Drosophila melanogaster: one gene and its partners. The protein of the gene in region 2 interacts with the protein of the main gene of each other region in a pairwise test. Each region holds a gene or a part of one and is shown on either strand. Other genes may lie near its edges.

Region 1 (6,313 bases), on a different chromosome or scaffold from region 2:
TTAGTACAAGAGTGAGAGTATAAATATGGTGCTTTGGATTTGAGGTAAGTTTTGGCCCATCTTCGAAATTAAGGCGAGTACTTTCCTACTTTCCTACTTTCCTACTTTCCACCGTGCACATTGCAGTATTTGCAGTCCCCGTTGATTACCACATTTCCTGGATCGGGCGACAGGGGAACAGCTGCGGAAGAAATAAATAATTTATAAAGTAATCAAATAGCTATAAAATATAGTATTACTAACCGTTGGCCAGAGCCAGCAGACCGAACACAAAGACGGTGACGACTGAGAAGAACTTCATATTGATTCTGGTTTGGTTGTTGTGGCTTTGATTTGCTAAATGCACAAGCAATCGATTGAATTCAACTGATGCTCTTGGCTAGTTCGATTGGATCTTATATAGCTCAGCCTGGAATCTTGGAGCAGCAAATGTGCATTGGTTGGACGGAGGCCACTGATAACCCCCATCGAATCGAAAGCGCTTGGGAAAACACAGAAAGTTGAGCGTTCAATAGCATTTGTTTTGCGTATTTAAATCTGGAAATTCCAGTCCCGTGTTTATGGGCGTGTTATGTGAACCAACAGGTAGAAGCTAAGATTGCTTTAATGTTCGAGAGAAAACCATTGGAGTTCTTAGAAGTATTCAAAATAGTTGCAGTTCAATATAGCTTTCAATCATTTGTCTTTCTTTATAAGAACTGAATAATTTGTTTTTTGTTTTGTTTACAAACAAAGTTTGTTGTTGTTTTTTACCTCGATTTGAAGCACATGCACCTGCAAAGTTTTGCATATATTTCAATATAGAAATGTGTTGTGCTCAGTGAAATTGAAACCGGCTTATAACATTTTGAATACAAAGTCTGCACGTGCTACAAATTAAATTAACACGTATACACTTGCATTCAAAAACGAGTTCATTAAACTTACTATTGAGTATGTTTTTAAATAATAATATTCTGTAGTAATCTTTTTAACAATTACTACAAAGAAAGCGTTATATTCTTCTTGTAACCATTAAATGAAATTTTATACGCAGTCAATATAATATTTAAAAAAAAGTTAGAACTCAGGGAATAATTAACTAAATCATGTTAGAATATGGTTAATCTATAATAAATAGCTGAAATAAAATTGCATCAGCCGCTTTGTAAATTGTATTGATTTTAAAAAAAAGATGATAATTTATTATATTTTGAAAAGCACTCATTTCCTTTAATCTCCTACACAGGCAACAGTCAATAGTTCAGCTTTGTTTTAAAACAAAGGTGTACTCAATTCCAGCCAGATCGGTTTTAAATTTGTATACATTATATATATAGATTATACAGATTATAAATCTCAGCTAATCGGCACGGCTATAAAAAGAAGGCGACGCCGATCAATCGGCTTAGAGGGAATCATAATGAAGAGCCTGACGTTATTGGCGCTTTTGATCTTGGCCACGTTGGCCTTTGTCCACGGTCGGTTTGAAGGCCAAAAGGTTTTAACTTGAATATTAACCGTTCTTCTACCTAGGTGGCAAGGTGACCATCAACGGCAAGTGCGTAAACTGCTCCCATGATCAAACGACTACCACCACGCACAAGCCAACAAGTGGAAAAGGAAGTGGAGGTAGGACGACAGCCCGGCCAAGCTCGAGATCATCTCCAGCCCGCGGTCGCCCATCATGGGATGACGATGATGATGATGACCTGACCGGTGACTGGGCACTGCATCAATCGGCTGGAGGAACTCAATACATTGGCAGGCGTTCGAAGCGTCAGTCACGCGGTGGTCAGTACATCGATTTGGGCGGATCTGGCGGAAGGGGTGGAGGCGGAGGATGGGCAGGATCTGGCATAACCACCATCGATTCCAGTGGCTATCCCGGCGGAACACTGGTGCGCAATAGTGATTGCGTCGGTTGCAATATTCGCGGATAAAGTCAATAAATTATTGAAACACTAAGAAATTATCTTTTTTTTAAAACGAAGATTGTTTAAACTTATGTGGTGGAGGAATCATCTGTAAACCAATATTCGAATTTTTTCTTATAGTCTCTATAAATGATTGCGATTTAAATACAATTTACAATATAGCTTTCATTTTATTACATTTTTATTATGATGCTAAATATAAGTTTTGATTAAAAATTTCTATTTGCCACCACGAACATTGCAATTCACACAGTCGCCATTGATGATAACATTTCCTGGATCGGGTGACAACGGAATAGCTGTTGAATAAGATGATTATTTACTTAAGTAATCAACTAATTAATCTTTGTAGGTTCTACACACCATTGGCCAAAGCCAGAAGACCAAGCACAAAGACAGTGACGATTGCAAAGAATCGCATATTGATTTTCAATTAATAGATCCGGTTTTATAAGCTGAACACACCGGACAAACGATCAACTACAACTGATGCTCTCGATTAAGGGAAACCGATCTTATATAGCAGATAGTCGGATCTAGGAGTGAATCAAGTGCCATATGAGATGAGAGCGATTGATTGATAGCTGCTGACAAAATATTTTTTTCGTGGGAAATATAGATTTACACTTTTTGTTTTGATTAATTCGAAAATACTAAAAATAAAAAACATCTTTTGTTTAGTTAGAAAGGAAATAGAATCCTCTATTTGTATGTATTTCTTTGATTTGCATTTTTAATTCTATGTATTATTCCAGTAAAAAATGGTAACAGCTTTTGTGTTCTAGTTTGTAGACTATGTCCTTTTTCGAATCCTTGGGTTGAAACTTCCTACTTGCCACCGTGGACATTGCACACCCTGCAATCGCCATTGATGATCACATTTCCTGGATCGGGCGACAGTGGAACAGCTGGAAAATAATAATAATAATAAAATTAGTTAAATCATCAAATAGGCAATTTCAATTAGTTTTACTCACCATTGGCCACAGCCAGCAGACCGAGCACAAAAACGGTGACGACTGAGAAGAATTTCATATTGATTCTGGATGGATTTCTCCGGTTTTGGATACTGAGTGCACTGGGCAATTGATTGGATTGAACTGATGATCTCGGCTAGTTGGAGCCGATCTTATATAGTCGAGCGTCGGATTAGAGAGCCACGCGAATTGGTGATAAGCCGTGTATTTGGGAAAACACAAGCATTTAATCGGTAGACTTAAGATGAAGTCTTCAAAGAAGGTAAAAGTACGCATATTTCAGACTTTTTTTTTATAAGAATTTTATATAAATTATTATTTTAATTATTAATTATTAATTTCAGGTAAATCGGTAGAATCATTGGTAAGAAGCATTTTTTAAGAAATAGCTTGTTTTAAGTTTTATATAAATATATAAATATAATTAAGTAAAAGTTGTAAAAGTTGTCGAACAAATTATGCAGATGAAATGAGACAATGGGTATTCTTATATTTATATATAATTGTCAAGAAAAGCAAATTTAATGATAACCGAAGACATTAAATTATTGATGGCATAAAAATCTGTATATTTTATCACAAACATGATAAACATGAGCTAGAATGTAAAAATCAAAACAATCTAAAAATTCTATATTTTACAAATAAGCTTTCATTCGATTTCTAGCTAGCAATAAGCAAAGTAAGAAGCTTGTGGAAAACCCCTGTCAAGAGTTATCTGTAAATTGAACTGGTTTCTGGGGGCGAATCCCGCACCTATCCACCCTTGGTTGTGCCTCCACTGCAATCTGGTTTTCATAACAAAGCGAATGGGAATGCTTAAAAGCTCACAGATTCCATGTGTCTCGAATAGATTCGTCTTGCACGCAGATTGAGAATGAAGTGCCTGATTCTGTCCTTTGCAATTTTCGTTGTCCTGGCTTCCCAGGCTACGGGTAAGAATCAGATGGGCGCGCCTTTCAATGTCACAATTTCGCTTATTATTTTATTATTCCGCAGCCGGAAATGTGATTATCGGCGGAGTATGCCAGGATTGCAGTCCGCCGGTGGCGGAAAACGTCGTAGTCGGTGGCCAATCCTACAGGACGGGTAGGCCGGGCCAGGGAACGGTGTATATCAATTCCCCTGGCGCATATCTAGGAGCTCTCGATGGTCCCATTCGGCGAACTGGCGCTGGCGGCGGAGGAGGCGGTGGCGCCCAGTATCCGGATGGTTACAGTGGTCGTCTGCCAGGTGGCACTTACCTTCACAATAAGGATTGCGTGGGCTGCAGCATCAGCGGGGGCGGGGATTAACGAAATTATATTGTGATTTGTACATAAAATACCTCGCATTTTTTAATTTTCGGGCATAATTTATAATTCTTTAAAAAATCTGAAAATTTGGTATAGTTACTTTATGTCATATTTTATAGAATCTTATTGGTTCAGACCTTTATAAATGTCCTTTATAAATTTTGATAAAATTAATTTTCCAACTGTTTTTTGAGTTTCGTAGAGACAAACATTTTTAATTAAAAAGTAAAATTATATAAGAGCTATTAAGTAATCAAAGCTAATAAAAAAGTTATAAATCAATTAGAAAATCAAAAAGACCCTCGTTTAATACGCTTATTAAACATATGATGGCATTTTATTACCAATTTAAAATTTTAATTTTTCCTTTTCATTTCTTTTTATCAAAGCATTGTTTATTGGTCGGAAAAAAAAAGTTTTGTTTGCGCAATATACAAGTTTACATACTTTACTTCCATAGAATTTTATTAATATTTGCGGTATTCGACCATAATTGAATACATACATGCACTGAAAATACTTTTTACGACAATATTCATTTTTCAATTTAAATGAAATTCTACAAAAATATTAAGAACTTCAAATGTGTGTTTTAAATAAAGTAGTTCGAAAATTAACTTTAACAGATACTTAGTATAGTTTTTCAAGTAATAGAGCTTCATATTACTTATGATTATTACACAACTCGAAAATAATATGCATTGCATATCTGAAATATTCCCCCTACGTCATATTACTCTTATCACAACTATAACTTAGAATACTACTTAAATAATAAGCTGATTTAGTTGAAGCTTTTGAGATGCTTTTGAGATGCACTGCCTCTGAGTCAAACGTTCAGTTGAGTGGTATACGTTATCAAGAGCGATGGGGCTTTTGGAAAACCCAAAGATCTATAAAATATTCTAGGGTATTTTCTGTTACTCCCGTGTTATTCACCGTCGAGATGAAAAGATGCAGCCGTATAAATCGCACTGGAATTGAGCGATCGCAGTTATTGACTCGTCTCAATTGTCGCAGCGATGAAGTGGTTTTCGATTTTGTTTGCGCTACTGGCGCTCATTTTCTTCGTCGAATTTGGATATGCTCGTAAGTTCTATCTATAAAAATTATTCCAATGAATATCTATAAAAATATGTTACTTATTTCAGGAACAATTCCCAGGATTACCATTCGCAATGGCGACATTATAGTTCATGGCAATTGCAATGACTGCACGGCACGCGCCACCAAAAACTCGGCTCACTTATCAATCAAATTTACTCGAAGATGGTAAATGTATTTATAAATAAATTACCTCAAACTTGCCATATTAAAACAAAAAACAAAAACTAATTTAAACTACTAAGTATTAGCTTGTGTGCATAAAATAAAAAGAAGTAACTATTATGCTAAAGTGTCACCGTGTTTCTGATTAAAAACCTTCTTTGAAATGTATAAGAATCGAGCTTAAGGCATTGTTCTTCGCTTCCTGACTGCTTCAGCAGTGTACTAAATTAATAATAGCCAAATTGCAATGTTCTCGTAAATTTGTCGTAAACTCAAGACCGGATCGTAAATCATTTGTGGGGCCCGAGGAAAGTTCCGTTTTGGCTTCTGTTTTATGCCTCATTGGTGGAAATATTTCAACAAAAAGGCATAAAAATTGCCATCATATTTGGCTATACCCGCCACCAGGCCGTCGAACACGTGTTTTTCTCGTTTTCCTTGCGGCAAAGGCAAAGGCATTGCCACATACCGCGCTTTCCGCGTGTCCTGTGACCCGTGTCCTTTGAGAGATGTTTTATTGCCAAAGAAAACCGAGCGAAGGCAAACCGCTGTGCGCCTGTAAATGACTCCTCAGGCACCTTTATATTGACTCGTAAAATTGCGACATTTAGTTGTATGTGAGGGGGGGGTGGCCAATCCAATTCAATCCCTACCAGACATTTTCGGCCTGCTTTTCGAGGTAGAAGTCACGGGTTTCCGAGGGGCTTCTCAGAGCTTTAAATTTGATTTTTATTTGCCCCAACCGTTGTTACCGGCAAACGATATTTTTTTTTATCGCACACAAAAACTCTTCGTCCTTCTAGTCTCTGATTTAATTCAGCGGAAATTGAGTTTTGGCCGGGTAGAAAATGGTGGA
Region 2 (7,106 bases):
CCAGGCCCTCCTGGATCGCACTGCTAAGCTTCTTTTTCAGGTTCCCGAACATCTTGCGACAACGGATCTCTATTTATTTAACTTAGCGATTTCTAATTGTCTTCGCGCTGGCGTTTTCCATCGAAAATTGAGTGGTAAATAAAGAATCAGCTGTTCGGGCAGGTGCTGAGAGAAAATCGGTCATAGAGAGAGAGAGAGAGCAACAGTTTGTTGCCGTACACGAGAGGCATATCAACTATGGCAAGAGCTCTGGCACGTGGTTTTTATTACTTACTAAAACTAATAAGTATTATTAACATTTCAAATTTTGCATTTTTATTTTATAATTTAAATAAAAAAATGAACCCAAAGTTGATATTATAAACAGACACAACAGGGTATCATTCGGTGGTATATTTAGTATATTACTATTAAACATAACTTAAAAAAAAACCAACCAAATATGAATCTATCTATGGCAGAGCTTATATCTGTAATAATAATATAAAAACAATATTCTTAGTTTGGTTCAACTTCAGTTTGTTTCCTTTAAAATTTCATTCTGATCTTACATAACGATTCTCTAACTAAAGTTTAGCCTAATTAATCCTCGGTCAGGTCCACTGTAGTGACAGCTGTGCTATCGTCCACTTGTTGATTTGTGCTATCCGATTGAGACGGATATTCAGGTTCAGACGCAGGTTCAGTTTCACATGCCTTTTTTTTGGGCTCTTCATGGTACTCAATTATCTCAATATCACTATTATCACCAGATTCTAGGGTTATACAGCTGCGTACGCTGTTCTTTGCTTCTGAATCTGAGTCCGAGCTTGATTTATTGCCGCTGGACTCGGAGCTCGAGCTTACTTTAATGGTGAGAACATTTGGCTCTTCGTCGCTGGATGAAATGGACAGGGCCTCGGGCTTCTCGGATTTGTCCACCTCTTCGTCGGACATAAGTTCCCGGAATATATCGCTTATAGGAGAGGAGGAGTGTTCCTTAGACTCGCTGGCTTTCTTTTGGCTGCTCGGGTTTAGTAATTGACCATAGGCCATGGCCACTGCAAGAGCCATTTGCTTGGAGTGGTTTAGGAACACATCTGAAGGCGGGGGTATACGTAACGACTCGCTGGGTGCGGATTCCCAATCGCAACCGCTGCTGCTCTGGCTGCTTCTTCGTCTTCTGTGTGATTTTTTGTGTTTTTTAACCTTCTTTTTGCGCTTTTTTCGCCGATGTGAACTGCTGCGACTTCGACTGCGGCTTGAACTTCTGCTGCTCCTAGTTCTTCTTCGGCTGCGATGCTTCTTGGCCTTTTTGTGGCGGCTCCTGCTGCGCCTTCTGCTGGAACTTCTGCTTCTATCAACACTTTGAGTTCTGGGTGCATCGCGGCTGTAAAAGTAGTTGGACTTCCTCCTTTCGTGCACATCATCCAGATCCTGCAGCTTCTGTCGGCAATTTGCCTGTGTGCGCTCCTTTTCTCTATCATTATGCCGAATCGCGGTGTTTATGGTGCGGCCTAAGAAGCGTTTGTTTAGTTTGCCCAGAGGATTCACTTTGCGTTCGCTTTGTTTCGAGGTGCTGACACTGGCATTTGCACCTTCGATCTCGCGCATTAGCTCGGCAATCGCCTGACTAACGTGAGAGCATCAAATTAATTAAAAATATATCGGATTGTAATATAAATATTTACTTTGTTAGGTCTGCGTCCATTTCCATTTTTTGTGTTTGTTTATGGCATTTAATTGAATACCAATTGCTGCGAAACAAAAAATACCGCGGACGGTAAGTGCTACTTATAAGTATTTTTAAAATACTAAGTATAAAGCGATTATTGTATGTGCGTTAAATTAGCGTCGATGAGTTCGCGGCGATGACGGAACGGTGGAAATCAAAACATGGGGACGTTTTTTATTTATTTATTTCTTTTCGTTATTTGGAGGTGAATTGCAAAAAATAAAATAAAGATCTTACTAACTATTCCCACATTTTCGGGAATTTCTCCACTCGTAGAGCGTGACCACTTTTAAGGACATTTCTTTAGGGAAACGGCGGGGCAGACGTCAAGACATTCGTTGGGCCACGGGTGACAGTCGGTCGGGCGGGGCAGCAGGTGGGACAGTAAGCGTGGGGAGCCAAGTTTTCAAGTGCATATTTCATATACTTTCTTGAGTCCTATGAACTTAAGTCGTACATAGGTAGTTAGATATTTTTTTAAACGTTATTGCATTTTTTTGAATTCAATAATGAAAGAATAAATTATTCAAAATTCCATCGTTCCTCCGTTCCTCCTACACTAGCGATATTCTTGTCGATTAATATTGTCAGAGTAATCTTTTCTGCAAAATACCACAAATTAGTCCAACGATATCGATTGGCACAATCATCGATTAAAGTTTAAAAAATGACGACCGGCCGCAATAAATTGAATTTCTAGTTGGTTAAAGTAACGTTTATTGAAGAAGATCACATAATCGAGTACGACTAATATCACAGGTGAATCACAATCTTTATGTTTCAGATTCCTGGCCAACTATTTCCTGCCGTCTATCACTTTCTGCATCCAGGACACGTATTTACTGACGCGCGTGTAGATTCCGGGCAAACCTGGACGTGCACAGCCGATCCCCGTGGACACCACGCCCACCAGATGATGCTCCTTGGACATCAGCGGACCGCCAGAATCCGCCTGTGAAGGTAAGTAAACCCGGAGCATAACATGTGTGCCGTATCAGCCAAGTGAATACTCACCCAACACGAGTCGATTTGACCGTTTTCATAACCGGCACACAACTGTGTCTCTCCAATGGTATTGCTCTTGCCCAAGGATCGGTAGGACCTCTCGCACGCCTCGTTGTTCCAGATCTTAACGGTAGCCTTGCGCAGTACATCGGATCGATCGTTTTCCGCTTGGTTCTCGTGCGTCCAGCCCCAACCGGAAACTGTTCCGTACTCCTGCTCCAGACTTCGGTGCCCCTCCTCGGATCCCACGCAGCTGGGCTGGATGTGTGAAGAGAATCGGATTGGCTGTACCAGCTCCAGGAGGGCTGTAAAAGAATAAAATACCAATTTGCAATAGCTTAAGGAATACTAAGAATAATAAGTATTATTTGATTCGTCTCTGATTCATTATGGTTAATGTTAATATCCTTTGTTGAAACTATTTCCTACCTATGTATTTCTGTTTGTTTTTTTAAAACCTAAGCGCATATTTTTAATGGTGTTTTACTAGATTAAAATTTTTTATTCATTTTACTGAAAAATAATGTCATGTTAATGTCATATTGTTGATTTATGATTCAGTTCTGTACATATGGAAAATAATTGAACCTGCAATTACCCCTTAAAAAACACACATACCTATATCGTGTTTCACATCGTTGCAGTCGTATTGCGGATGGGGCACAATGTTCTTGAAGTCCACCCTCAGTGCATCCGGACCGTTGCCAATCCCGTTGAGGTACTCCCTGATGCTATGCAAACCCACAACTCCTTGGATTTGAGCTGGTTTCATGAACTGCTGCAGCCCATTGCAGATGCAATGTCCCGCCGTGAGGATCCATCGCTCCGAGATGATAGTGCCGCCACAAAAGTGACCACCACGACGCATCAGACTGACCATGTAGGGCATTTCGTTGCGCTCCGCCTCACTACCTCCCACGATTTTTGGATTTCGAACCGAGCATGGCTGGTTGCTAACTGTCATGGGAGTCAGAGGAATTTCAATTTGCGTGAGTTCATGATAAGGAGTGTTGAAAATAATTAGTTAATATAAGCAGAACGCATTTATTTATATTTCTCATAATCTAGTAAACTTTTCCTTATGCACGTTTTATGATTATACAAGTTTTGATAGAATCTTGAAATATTTGTAGGTTGAGTTCTTATCAAATAGGGAAGCATAAACTGTTGCAATTGGAACATTAGATGTTAGATTTATCCAGTGAATTTAGCATATAAATCCACAATGCTAAAAGATCATGCTTTCTTAATTGATATAAACTAACCTAAAATATTAAGGACTGCAAAAATGAATGGAATATTAAACACAAGTTAAAAGTTAAAAGGTAGTTCCCAGGAATCCTAATTTAGGAACTATAATTATTTTATTTTTCATATTATATTTGACTTATTACTCTTTTCGTCACATTTGTTCAATCAACTCACAAGCAATTTGGGATTGTGCACACTTCACTAGCGACAGAACCGCGACTACGAATACGATTTTCAACATTTTCTGTGTGCACAACCAGTGTTCTTAGCCCCGAAAAAAAACCCGTTAAGCACGGCTCAAGCTTAAACGAAACTGCCACGAATATTCTGTGCGGCAATTAATTTATATATAGGTGTCTGGGCGTCCAGCGCCTCTCCGTTCCACTGACTTACTTCACTGTCGTCCGGAGTTCTATGCGGATTAGCCGGAAAGCTCGCTCTCTCGGCCTGATAACAAACGGAAGTCGCAGCCGGGCCTTTGGCACCTGTTGCCTCAGCTGAGAGCTTTTTTTGCGCTGCACTACCTGTCTCATCGCCTTTTTTTTTTTTGCTGGTATTGTGGGCATGGGTGCCATGTGCACACGTTATGGCATTTCAATTGCTCCAAGGGGGGGGGGGGTGAATTAAGGAGCTGCCGAAAAGTCGAAAACAAACCCAAAAGTAAACAATGGCCGAAATAAAGTTTTGTGTGTTTTGCGTTTTATGACCCAGCGAAGTTCATGACATTGAAAAGTGCGCGACAAAAGGTGTGACAATATTTATGCTGAATTTTCGATGCCACCACTACGAGTTTATTGCACCTCTATCCTTATTTTAGTACATTATTATTGCGATTAGCACGTATTTAGGGTGTTATTGAAATTGTTGTATGGTTAATAAAGAAAAGGGTGTAAATATTATTATGACTTGTTAATCAACTGAAATGCTATTGCATAACTACAGAAAATTTTATAAATGATTCAAAACCAACTCTTTTGATTTTAAATTTCTTTTTGCTTGCATGTAGTATCTTTTATTTCTTCAGTTCTTATGATTTACAATGCATTTTTGTGTTCCTACAAGATCTAATTTATCTAATCTATCTTAAGAAAGTTAAAAAAGTTTCTAGGATTTGCGTAATCGTTACAGTTATGTCATTGCCTGCATTTGACACAATTAGTTCGCACATTGCAGCTAACCTTAGACGTCATATTTCCATCAGTTTAGACCTGGTAGTTAGTAATCGGGCCTGTTATGCAAATTAGGATGTCTGCGCTGCATATGAATACTGTGATGGGACCAAAAATTAATTGAAATTCAATGTCGGCGCAATCAATGTAATATTAGCCGCTTGACATTAACATTGCCCTTAAAACTAACGCATGGCCCACACACTCAATGCAATTGGCGACATGGGAAGGTTGATACACCATCCATCGCATATCAAAGTGATAAATGCAGGTGGAAGTGCATTTCTATGACATAATATGTATTATAAGCAATAGCATGCCAAAAATGATGGGTATTGAAGTGGGCAAAGCAGGAATTGGAATTGAAACTGAAAGTTAAGACGGAGTATGACAAATCTACAGACCAAGGCATTAATAATTCATTATCCACAATCTCGATTCTCAGTCGGAGCACACAAATCAGTTCAGTGGATCAGACAAGTATGCCAGAATTACTAATTGATTTCATGACTTTGGTTCCTTAACCGAAAACCAGATAGCATCCCAATCGAGTTCATTGATCGCGGCAGCTCTGTTTCGCACTAAATGCTAATTCACTAAACAAATCGCCCATAAAAAACACTATATATCCATTGTCTGCCGTTGACTGGCGTTGATACCAAATAACCAAATATAAACAATATTAACAAACACGAGTGCGGAGCTCAACTGAAACAAGTTTCAGGCGCATTGACACCCGCCTTTGGGCGAAACTTGGGCGCATTCAATGTGAAGGTCGCTTCGATTTGAGGTACTTGAGTTATGCTTGACAATTGTCATATTATTCAGCTATTTCGCTACACTTTTGTTTTCATTTCGACGAAGTTCAACGACGCCGCTCTCAGGTGACTAATTGCAAGGGGGAAGTCTTTGGACGTCGCTAATGCGGGTGTGTTTGGCGCTATAGGAAATGTTTTGGGGCGCAGTGAACCCATTTAACTGGCAGGTATTTATAGGAATCACGAATGGGTGGTAGTGGGTTATAAACAAAAACATTTAGCATAGATGCTTCAGTTATGAAATTTAACTGTTTATTATCTTCTTAATTGTGACTTAATTAAACTAGGTATGTAATTATAGTTTATAGTTTTCGTAGTGAGTAGGCTTTAAATAAAACATTACGTTATAAAATGGAACTATCTACAATCGTATAAATTGCAATTTAACTATATATAATTATAGCTTATAGTTTTCGATTGAATTTCGAGTGAGTAGTGGTTTCTAAATAAAACACAAGGATGCTTAAGTTATGAAATTGAACTGCCTAGAATCATATAGATCACAATTTCAGTAATTTATCAGTTTATATCTTTAATTAATGGGATATAAATTGCTTCTAAATATTACATATTAATTATGTATATATATAAATATTTATACTTGTTCTTTTATTTTCGCTAACCAAATTATCTAGTTTCACTACAAAAAAGTCTTTGTTACAAAGATTCAACTTGCTTAACAAAGATTCAGAAAAAAGGTATACATTTATTTAATTCAAAAAATTATATCGCTGGAACTTAAATATAAATATTAATAATAAGTATTTCAATTTATCTATAAAATCGTATGTATAATTAGCAATGCTTTTTATTTAAAGTAATTAAATTTGAAATCTCTATATATTTTTTAAACATAATTAATGAAATAAATCTTAACTTACCAAAACGAAGTGCTTTGAAATCGTCAGCGTTGAGGGGATCACTTATCTGGTTTCAATTATTGCTCGAAAGCCAACTGGTAAACAATGAGGGCTTTCTGAGCAACAATCAAAATTATATAAGTGTCCGTGAAGGAACTCTTATATAAAACAGCCAAACTTAGCCAATGGCTTAACACAATTTTGGGCATCACAATGCACTGACCATTTGAATGTTATTCTTATTCTAGGCAGGCCAACACGTCTGCTCGGTGTGAGAGCCGCACCGGAA
Region 3 (7,765 bases), on a different chromosome or scaffold from region 2:
AATCAGACGCCCGTGGGCAGATCCGGCAGCGGAACACGCCACTCCACGGGCATGTATTTTACGGAGGTGGATGTGACCGCCAAGAATGCCGGCGATTTCAAGTGAGTCATTGTTCAGTTCAGTACCACAAGAAACTCAATACTTGGGTAATCCCCTTTTTCGATTTCAAGTTATTTCATTTGCCAAATTCGATAATCAAATTATTTCGTATCTATTTCAGCTACAACATTCGCAGCCAGGATGACATCAGCTCTGGCTACTCGAGCGCCGAACCTGTGAGTGGTCTCAGTCGCACCTCCTCCATGACAAACGCTTCCAAGGCTCGAGCCAAGTCCAAACGCAATGAGGTAGGAATCATTTCAGTCTTTCTTTTTGGAACTATCTTAATCCGTTTAGAGATTGGTGTTGGTTAGCAGTTGCTGGAAGAGATGAGAGACGAGGTCTACTTAGACAACCAGCTGTATTTTCAAGGTGTGCAAAGGAAGAGCTCAGTTCCAGAAGCTGAAGAACTGAAAATAGTGGAGAGTTCTGAAAGCATCCAATCTCAGGAGTTGGAAAAGGTGCTGAAGGAGGAGAACATTGATGCAGAAGATGAGGCCTTTTTTGAAACCTTGCCTTTGATAGAGGAGCACATAAATGAAGTGGTGGCTAACTATGGAAGGGATGAAAAGTTGTTGCCCCAAGAGCGGAAGCATAATTCGATAGAAGAGGAGCAGTTTGAAGATGCATTGTTTGAGGAACCACAGAAATGTGTCTCAGATGAAGTGGATGCTAAAAATATTGAGGAGATACTAACGGATAGAAGTCAAAACCAGACTCCGAATGGATCTGCTGAAACTACTGATTCAGGAACACCTTCCCAAAACAAGCCCTATGTCCATCCACCGATAGACCCATTTTTGCTGGTTCTAAGCGCTTCTGCATCTGCTCCGGATCCCTTTATGCCCGAACGGCCGCGTCCAATGTCGCCGCGTGAAATGCGCGAGACTCTGGAGGAGATTAAGCACAGTTTCCGTGCCCAACTGGAAGCAGAGCCCTCCGTATCAGCCTCACCATCACCCTCCTTGCGGCCCAAGGCCAACCATGGCAAGGGACGAGCTCCACCACCGCCCTTGCCACCCAAGAAGCACTCATTGAGTCCCCAACCGGACGCCATCAGCCAGACATCGACGGGCAGCGTGGAACGCAAGTCAGGTATCGGACAACTGTTCAAGAATATCAAAGCTAATGTGCTGCGTAACAAAGCTAATCCCAGCCAGCAGCAGCCCGAGGATGAGCAGCTGGCGGCCAAAGAGACACAGATTTGAAGTAAGCCCAGCCGCAAGCCCGTTTTCGAAGCTCTCATCATCCCCGTGTTATGTTTCGCTCACCGCCGGGCGATTTCTGCTCCGCCTTTAACTTCCATGGCCCCCAATATGGCATTATCTTTCTGTACAGTTGCGTTACTAACCCCCAGATTTAAGGATTTGCAGCATGTTGTTTTAGAGGCTCCAATTGAAGTACATACTCTCATCCTTCATCTACTTTCTTGACTTATTGCAGGACAAATCCATGTCTGCTAGCTGCACCACCTTGCCCCGCTCGAGCAGCCGGAAATCGGAGAGATCCCAGGGTGGAACTGCCACTGGCCAGATGAAAACGCGCAACAAGTCGGAGAAGTAGTGGAGCATCGGTTTAAGGCTGCCCATCTTTGTCAGTATGTTGATTTAGATGGTGACGGTGGGCAGACAGTGGAATCCATAGAACCAGAACCTCATGTTTTAGTTTAAATTGTAACTTTATACGGATATCGATACAGATTATGATAATATTAGCTATATATGCGCATGCACTGTGTACTTTGTTTGTGATTCTATTAGAGCTCCGGGCGCAGTTCGTCCTGGTTGCCACTGGTACTCATTTCGTGACTAGTTTAGCGTTAAGCGAGTCTCCTAGCCTCTATCCAAAGGTTCTGCAACAGATGTACTAACCAAAAATGAAACCCGAAGAAACCTATCAATTGTGTAGCATAAATTCCTAATATTGTAATTGAACATTAAATAAAAGAATCTATACCATTGATCCATTGAACTGAACAACCAGAGATGTCTTTAATGATCTTTGAACTAGCAATTCAGAACCGTTTACTTAGATACGAAGGACTTCTTACTCGGCTTCTTCTACAGGCGCCTTTTGGGTGTCCCCGCCCCCAGCTGCTCCTGCCTCGGCCTCGTCCTCCGGTTGCTCCGACTCATCGTCATCGTCGTTATGGTAAAGAACCTTGCGTATATAGCGGGCCACCAGCTCCTGTGGTCTCTTCTCCCATTTGGACAAAACATCATGTGGCGTTTTGATCTTAGTATGATTTTAGTTGGTAGATAACATTATAATAATGGACTGTAATGAACTCACTTGATCCCCATTTAGGCGATTCAGGATGGCCACACAGACGACCGCGCCCCTGATGTTGGCCCTACTGGTGAGGGCGGCAAAGGCCAAGCTCTCCATCTCGATATTCTTCACCTGCTGGCTCTGCAGCGTCTCCAAGTAGGATTTCTTCATTTCGGGCGTGTACTCGCAGAAGGCTCCATCGAGGCGCGACTGGCCTTCGTAGAAGTCATGGGCACACAGAGTCCGGCCGATGACAGCTTCATATTTGTCCTTGCAGGGATCGTGGCACATCTTGATTTCATCGGCCAGACTCTCATCGAGCTGGCTGGCATGCTGGACACTGACGCCGTGCACAAGGATCTCGTGGACGGGATTCAAGCGACCATCAATCGCCTCGGAGGAAATGATCACGGTGCCGGGTTCAACGCCAATGCCGCCGCTGGTGCCAATTCTGATGAAGACGGGGTCCTTGCACTTGGCGTGGTACATCATCTTGATGAGTTCGTGCAGCAGTATGGAGATCGACGGACAACCCATTCCGTGGCTGGCGCAGAGCACGGGACCCACCTTGAACAAGGAGAATCGCTGGCCGGCCTCCGATATGTTCCGTAGCTTGGTAGCCGCGTTTATCTTCAGACCGATCTCCTGCATCACGTAGTAGGCAAAGTTTTCCATCCGACCCGGAGTACCTCCCATGCATACAAACTTTGTGCAAAGAAGATACGCTTAGCATACTTATAGTTACTAGATACTTGAGTATAATGGTTGAGACTAACCCTCACATCACCAAAAACCTTGGGAAAGTCCGTGGTCTCCGTATTCAGGCCCAGGTGGTAGAGTATGTCAGGCTGCAGGCACTTCAGGCAGGGATTCAGGCCGCACAATGTGGATTCCTTGGCCTCCTCGTCCTTTTTGCAGCCTTCCTTCATCTGACGGACCAGCTTGGCGAGCGTCCTGCTCTGGGCATTCACGATGGCTATGGGATGCGGTCTGTGTTATGAGGGATCTCAGGAAACTCCTGTCTAAACTGAAAGTAGTCACCCTTTAGCTGGCCCACCTCGTTGGCCAAACGGCATGTGCAGTCACTGCAGTTGCTTTTGGACATTTTTGTTTTTTTAATTTTTAAGTTACTTCCAGCAATTTTGTCTTACTTCCGGAATGAGTGTCTATTTAAAGTTTGAATTTATAATTGAAATATAGAAAGTTGTCAGACATTGCGACTACTATAATTCGTAATATAAGGTATTTTCATTGTTACCTTTATTACAAAAGTGGACTTAAAGGACATAAGTTTCCAAAATCATTTAGTATGCCTAAATTTGAGTTACATTTGTATCTTCACCCGTACATATGGTCACCAAACATTTGCAGATGAGTGTAAGCTGCGCAGTACTTTAATAGCGCCCCTCGTAGGCCTAACTAAATGCGGCGATTACTTGGACGACCCGCGATCGCACCGCACTTAAGTATGGAGAAGCGCAAAAAGTGACCAAACCGGCTTGCCAACCGCTCTCTGCTTCTTGCCCATCCGCATGCGGCTCCAGAAACTCGGAGCGCAGCTTTCGCGAAGCCACCGTCGCGTCACGGCCGCCGTCGTGGTCGTCACACATGCGCAGCAGCTGATGCGCGAGCGCTGACCTTGACCCTCAATTGGAGTCGCAGTCGCTTGCAGACTTGTTGCCAAGTGCAGCCGGCAAAGTTGAAGTTGCCACCCCACCCCGGGACCGCTCTCTCTTCCTCTTGCTCTCTGCCTGCTTTTTCGCACAGCCAGTTTTCACCATTAGCGGCGACTGTACCTCGCAGCACGCTGTACGTCCATACATACGTATGTATGCATTCACTTAGCGCGCGCGTATGTACGCATGCATGTGTGTGTGTGTTGTGTGTGCTGGTACGCGAACTGCACACAGAAAAGAACAGGGCAGGAGAGCAAAGAAAGCGGCGTGAGCACATAGCGAAAAGAGAGCCCCCAGCCCCATATTCCATCCAGCCATCGCCATCAGCTGCCTGCGCCATGTGTTCCCGCAGCTGCAGTTGTGAAAATCGCCGGTAAACTGGTTGCGCGAGCGAGATGGAGAGAGTGCGAAAGCGGGCGATCGCTCTCTCCCGCTCAGGGGCGGAGATGCCTCAAATTGGCAGGGGGCCTAATGAAAGATGTTACCCTGGAAGACGCTGCAAGAATTACCCCAAAGACATAACACATGGTGCGGGATTATTTTTTTTTTTGTCTCAAATCAGCAGCTCCAGCATTTTAATTTACAATTAAAAAACAATCACAGTGATATTTGAATTTTCATTTCCTTCATCGTACGTAGGTTTCGGTCTCGCATCTTTTGTGTCCCGTCCGTCCAACTGAACTGAACTGAAGGTGTGTGTGTGCCGTTGTCTTCTTCATCTGCCCACTGAGTGTTCTGAGTGCCGCTTGCTTGTCTGCTTCTTTAACCGCTTAGCTCATCCTCTCCAGCGTTGCGTTCCGTTTTCAAAGTCGTCGTGTATGTCTACCATTGTTGATGTTCTCTTCTTGTTATTTGTCTGCTTCTCTGTTCTTGTTTGCTGCCCCCTTTGGCTCCACAGCTATGAGCTACATAGCATGCTACCCCGCTTGAGAGATCTTGCCAGGCGTCTTGGCTGATGGGTGTGTGGTATGGTATGGATGTGGATGGAGTTAATGGTATAGGGGTGGGATACTGGTTACTGTCTACAGATCCTGTCTTACAGTCTTAGATCCTGGATAATTCCCAAGGCTCGCCGGCAGCAGCTGGATGGAGTGGAGTTGAGTGGAGTCGAGTGGTAACGTGGCCTGATCTTCTAGCCGCCTGATTCTTCGCTTTTTCATTGGTTTTTATAATTTTTATTTACGTTTTTCTTTCGGTTGTTTCTGGCTGTGGAACTCCTAATAGGATCATTTGCTTTAAATAGTATTCTTTAAGGTATTTTTCTTTATATAATCTTATATAGTTTCATTCCATTCGTTATAATGTAATTAGTAAATTCAAACACTTGCAGCATAATCATATAATCATATAGGTATAATTATAGTAGAGTGGTTTGCTTGGTGATTTCTTTTGTTGTTGCTGTTGTGGTTTAGTCTCATCTTACAAATTGGGTCGTCGTGTCTTCTTCCTCATCTTCTACCTCATCCTCTTCCTCGTCGTCGGTGTCATCTGCTCTCTCGGCTGCACAGCTGCCGTTGGCTATCGTCTTCTGGTTCTGCTCCTCCGACCCCCGCTCGAGGAGCCTTTGCCCTCTTCCTCCTCCGTGATTCCTTTTCTGGCGGCTTTCCCTCGGAAAGCCAATACTTCTTGTCTTCTTTCAGTTCTCGGGACGTTGGCACCGCGCTGCAGGCTCGGCTTTTGGAATCAGCGATGGTTACTGGATGATGTTCAGGATTATGGATTCATATGCTGCATGTGTTAATGGAGGGATGTGGATGTGGTTGTGGGTTCTTTATTTTGAAGGGGTTGATCTTGACTTGGGTGCTGCTGCTATCGCTTCTAGATGTTGTTGCTGTTGGCTGGCTTTGTGAATGTTGTAGCAAATTGATTTTTCGTTTTTTTTTCATTTTTTTTCGTTCTCATCTTTTCTTCTGGTTGTTCTTCGTGTGTTGAATTATTACTCATATTCCTCCTTCGATGATTACATTTATGAGGTGCCACGGGTGGGTGGTGGCGCCTAGTTCCGTCCGCCCTTCTCGTCGCACTCGCGCCTCAGATGTCCGCTCTTGCCGCAGCCGTAGCAAGTCTTCGAGGTCTCCGGGCAGTTCTTGGAGATGTGTCCGGTGCGGTTGCACTTGTAGCACGACACATTGGTCGGTCCACGTTCGTTGACGGCCTCTGGGCAGTTGCGCACCCAGTGTCCGGTCTTGTTGCAACGGTAGCAGGTCGGGTTGTCCGCCTGGGTGCAGTCCTTCGAGATGTGCCCGATGCCGTTGCAGCGGTAGCAGCGCTCGGCCTCCTCAGGGCAGGCACGTGCGAAGTGCCCAAATTGGTTGCATTTGTAGCACTTCTCGCGGTTGCGACGCATGCCGCCGCCATCGTTGCCGCGCATACCGCCGCCGCCGCCACCACCGCCTCCTCCAACGCCGCCCGGACCTCCGCCGCCGCCGAGACTGCAGTCCCGGGCAAAGTGGCCCGGCCGGTTGCACTTGTAGCACGTGGCAGACATCGACATCTTTGCTTCGGTTTTGGTTAGACTACTGATCCGCAAATCCGACTCCGCTTCTTAAACTCAACTTCTCAACTTCCTCACACACTCACTGGTAACCACGGGCCCTCGAGCACTACACACTGCTTGCGCTGGATGCGAAAAAATCACACAGACCAACAGGATCTCCGGCTTCCTCAGATTTCCTCGCCGTATTTTCGACGCCAAAAGTTAAAATGGCTGCCGCTGAGCGAATGAGTACCGATTTGCTGTGGTATCGACTACTCGCCAGAGTTGCTTCGGCTACGCTTGAATACAACACTGACCCTCCACGCGGTGCACATTGGTTCGAGGATATGCGATGGTGAGGCGAAATGTCAGTCTGGAATTGTGTAGTGTGCTGGTGTCGTACTACTTCCACTCGGCGTGCTTTGTCTCACAGAATCTACATTTCCATTTTGCTTTCTCACTTGGCGTGTTTAGCTTTTGTCTCGTGTCCTCCATATTTAGGAGGCACTACATAACCCAATTTTGCGAACTCGATTTTGCCACTTTATAACCACACGTAACCAGTGTGTCCGTGGTGATGGACTGCAACTTATCGGCTCAGTCGTTAGGAGTACCCCTGGCAAAGGGCTATCGAAATATATATCTTTAAATTTATAAGGAAGTCCATTCAAATAATTGTTTTATTTTAATTGTTTGGACACAACATACGTTCACCTTTTTGAAATTGGCTATTTGCAGAAATTGATATCGATTGACACATTAGGGGTGCTTAGCAAAGAATAGCTAACTGAAGACTTCATAAGAGAAAACGTAATACTCTAATAATAGAAAAGCACTCAGATTACGTAACAACTAATAAAATATTTTATGTGCATATATATAAAACGATTTATCAAAAGAACCTGGCTTTGTCAAAAAATCGATATTTCATAGTGGTGTACATTTTTAAGGACTTTCACAAATAATACGCTGAGTACACTTATATTATTGTTATATTATCCCAAATATTGGGCAGCACGATTTTTTGAAATCTGGGTGACATCGATTACTATATGAAAAGGGTATTCCTGCTTATCAGTATTTGCAGAGAAAAGGAATTATGAATAATATTTACCTCAAAAGCTATAAATTAGATAAAGTCATAATAATTTACTTTACTATTTATTAACTATATTAATTTACTATATATTAATTTACTATTTTAATAAAATATCTTTTAATGCCCTCGTCGATACCAATAGGT

Evidence for each region.
Region 1: the proteins of CG14074 (region 2) and BomS4 interact in a two-hybrid assay, tested with the Drosophila melanogaster proteins (one large-scale study listed by BioGRID).
Region 3: the proteins of CG14074 (region 2) and CG3788 interact in a two-hybrid assay, tested with the Drosophila melanogaster proteins (one large-scale study listed by BioGRID).

The regions. Positions count from the first base shown.
Region 1 is NT_033778.4:18,380,661-18,386,973, reverse strand, and holds BomS4 (bomanin short 4), read right to left. Parts: upstream 2,408-6,313; 5' UTR 2,338-2,407; coding exon 2,280-2,337; intron 2,216-2,279; coding exon 2,136-2,215; 3' UTR 2,063-2,135; downstream 1-2,062. Other genes in the region: BomS2 (bomanin short 2), read right to left, coding at 102-181, 244-301; BomBc2 (bomanin bicipital 2), read left to right, coding at 1,403-1,460, 1,516-1,922; BomS1 (bomanin short 1), read right to left, coding at 2,745-2,824, 2,894-2,951; BomBc1 (bomanin bicipital 1), read left to right, coding at 3,771-3,828, 3,893-4,188; BomT1 (bomanin tailed 1), read left to right, coding at 5,211-5,277, 5,340-5,464.
Region 2 is NT_037436.4:18,860,826-18,867,931, reverse strand, and holds CG14074 (uncharacterized protein), read right to left. Parts: upstream 1,708-7,106; 5' UTR 1,671-1,707; intron 1,613-1,670; 5' UTR 1,594-1,612; coding exon 583-1,593; 3' UTR 501-582; downstream 1-500. Other genes in the region: Dysb (dysbindin), read right to left, coding at 1-52; CG6865 (uncharacterized protein), read right to left, coding at 2,511-2,666, 2,729-3,024, 3,338-3,676, 4,145-4,211.
Region 3 is NT_033778.4:22,929,973-22,937,737, forward strand, and holds CG3788 (uncharacterized protein), read right to left. Parts: upstream 4,106-7,765; 5' UTR 3,629-4,105; intron 3,552-3,628; exon of another isoform or gene 3,537-3,551; 5' UTR 3,476-3,536; coding exon 3,412-3,475; intron 3,347-3,411; coding exon 3,147-3,346; intron 3,076-3,146; coding exon 2,392-3,075; intron 2,335-2,391; coding exon 2,146-2,334; 3' UTR 2,063-2,145; downstream 1-2,062. Other genes in the region: ReepA (receptor expression enhancing protein A), read left to right, coding at 1-101, 221-347, 417-1,307; CNBP (CCHC-type zinc finger nucleic acid binding protein), read right to left, coding at 6,043-6,540.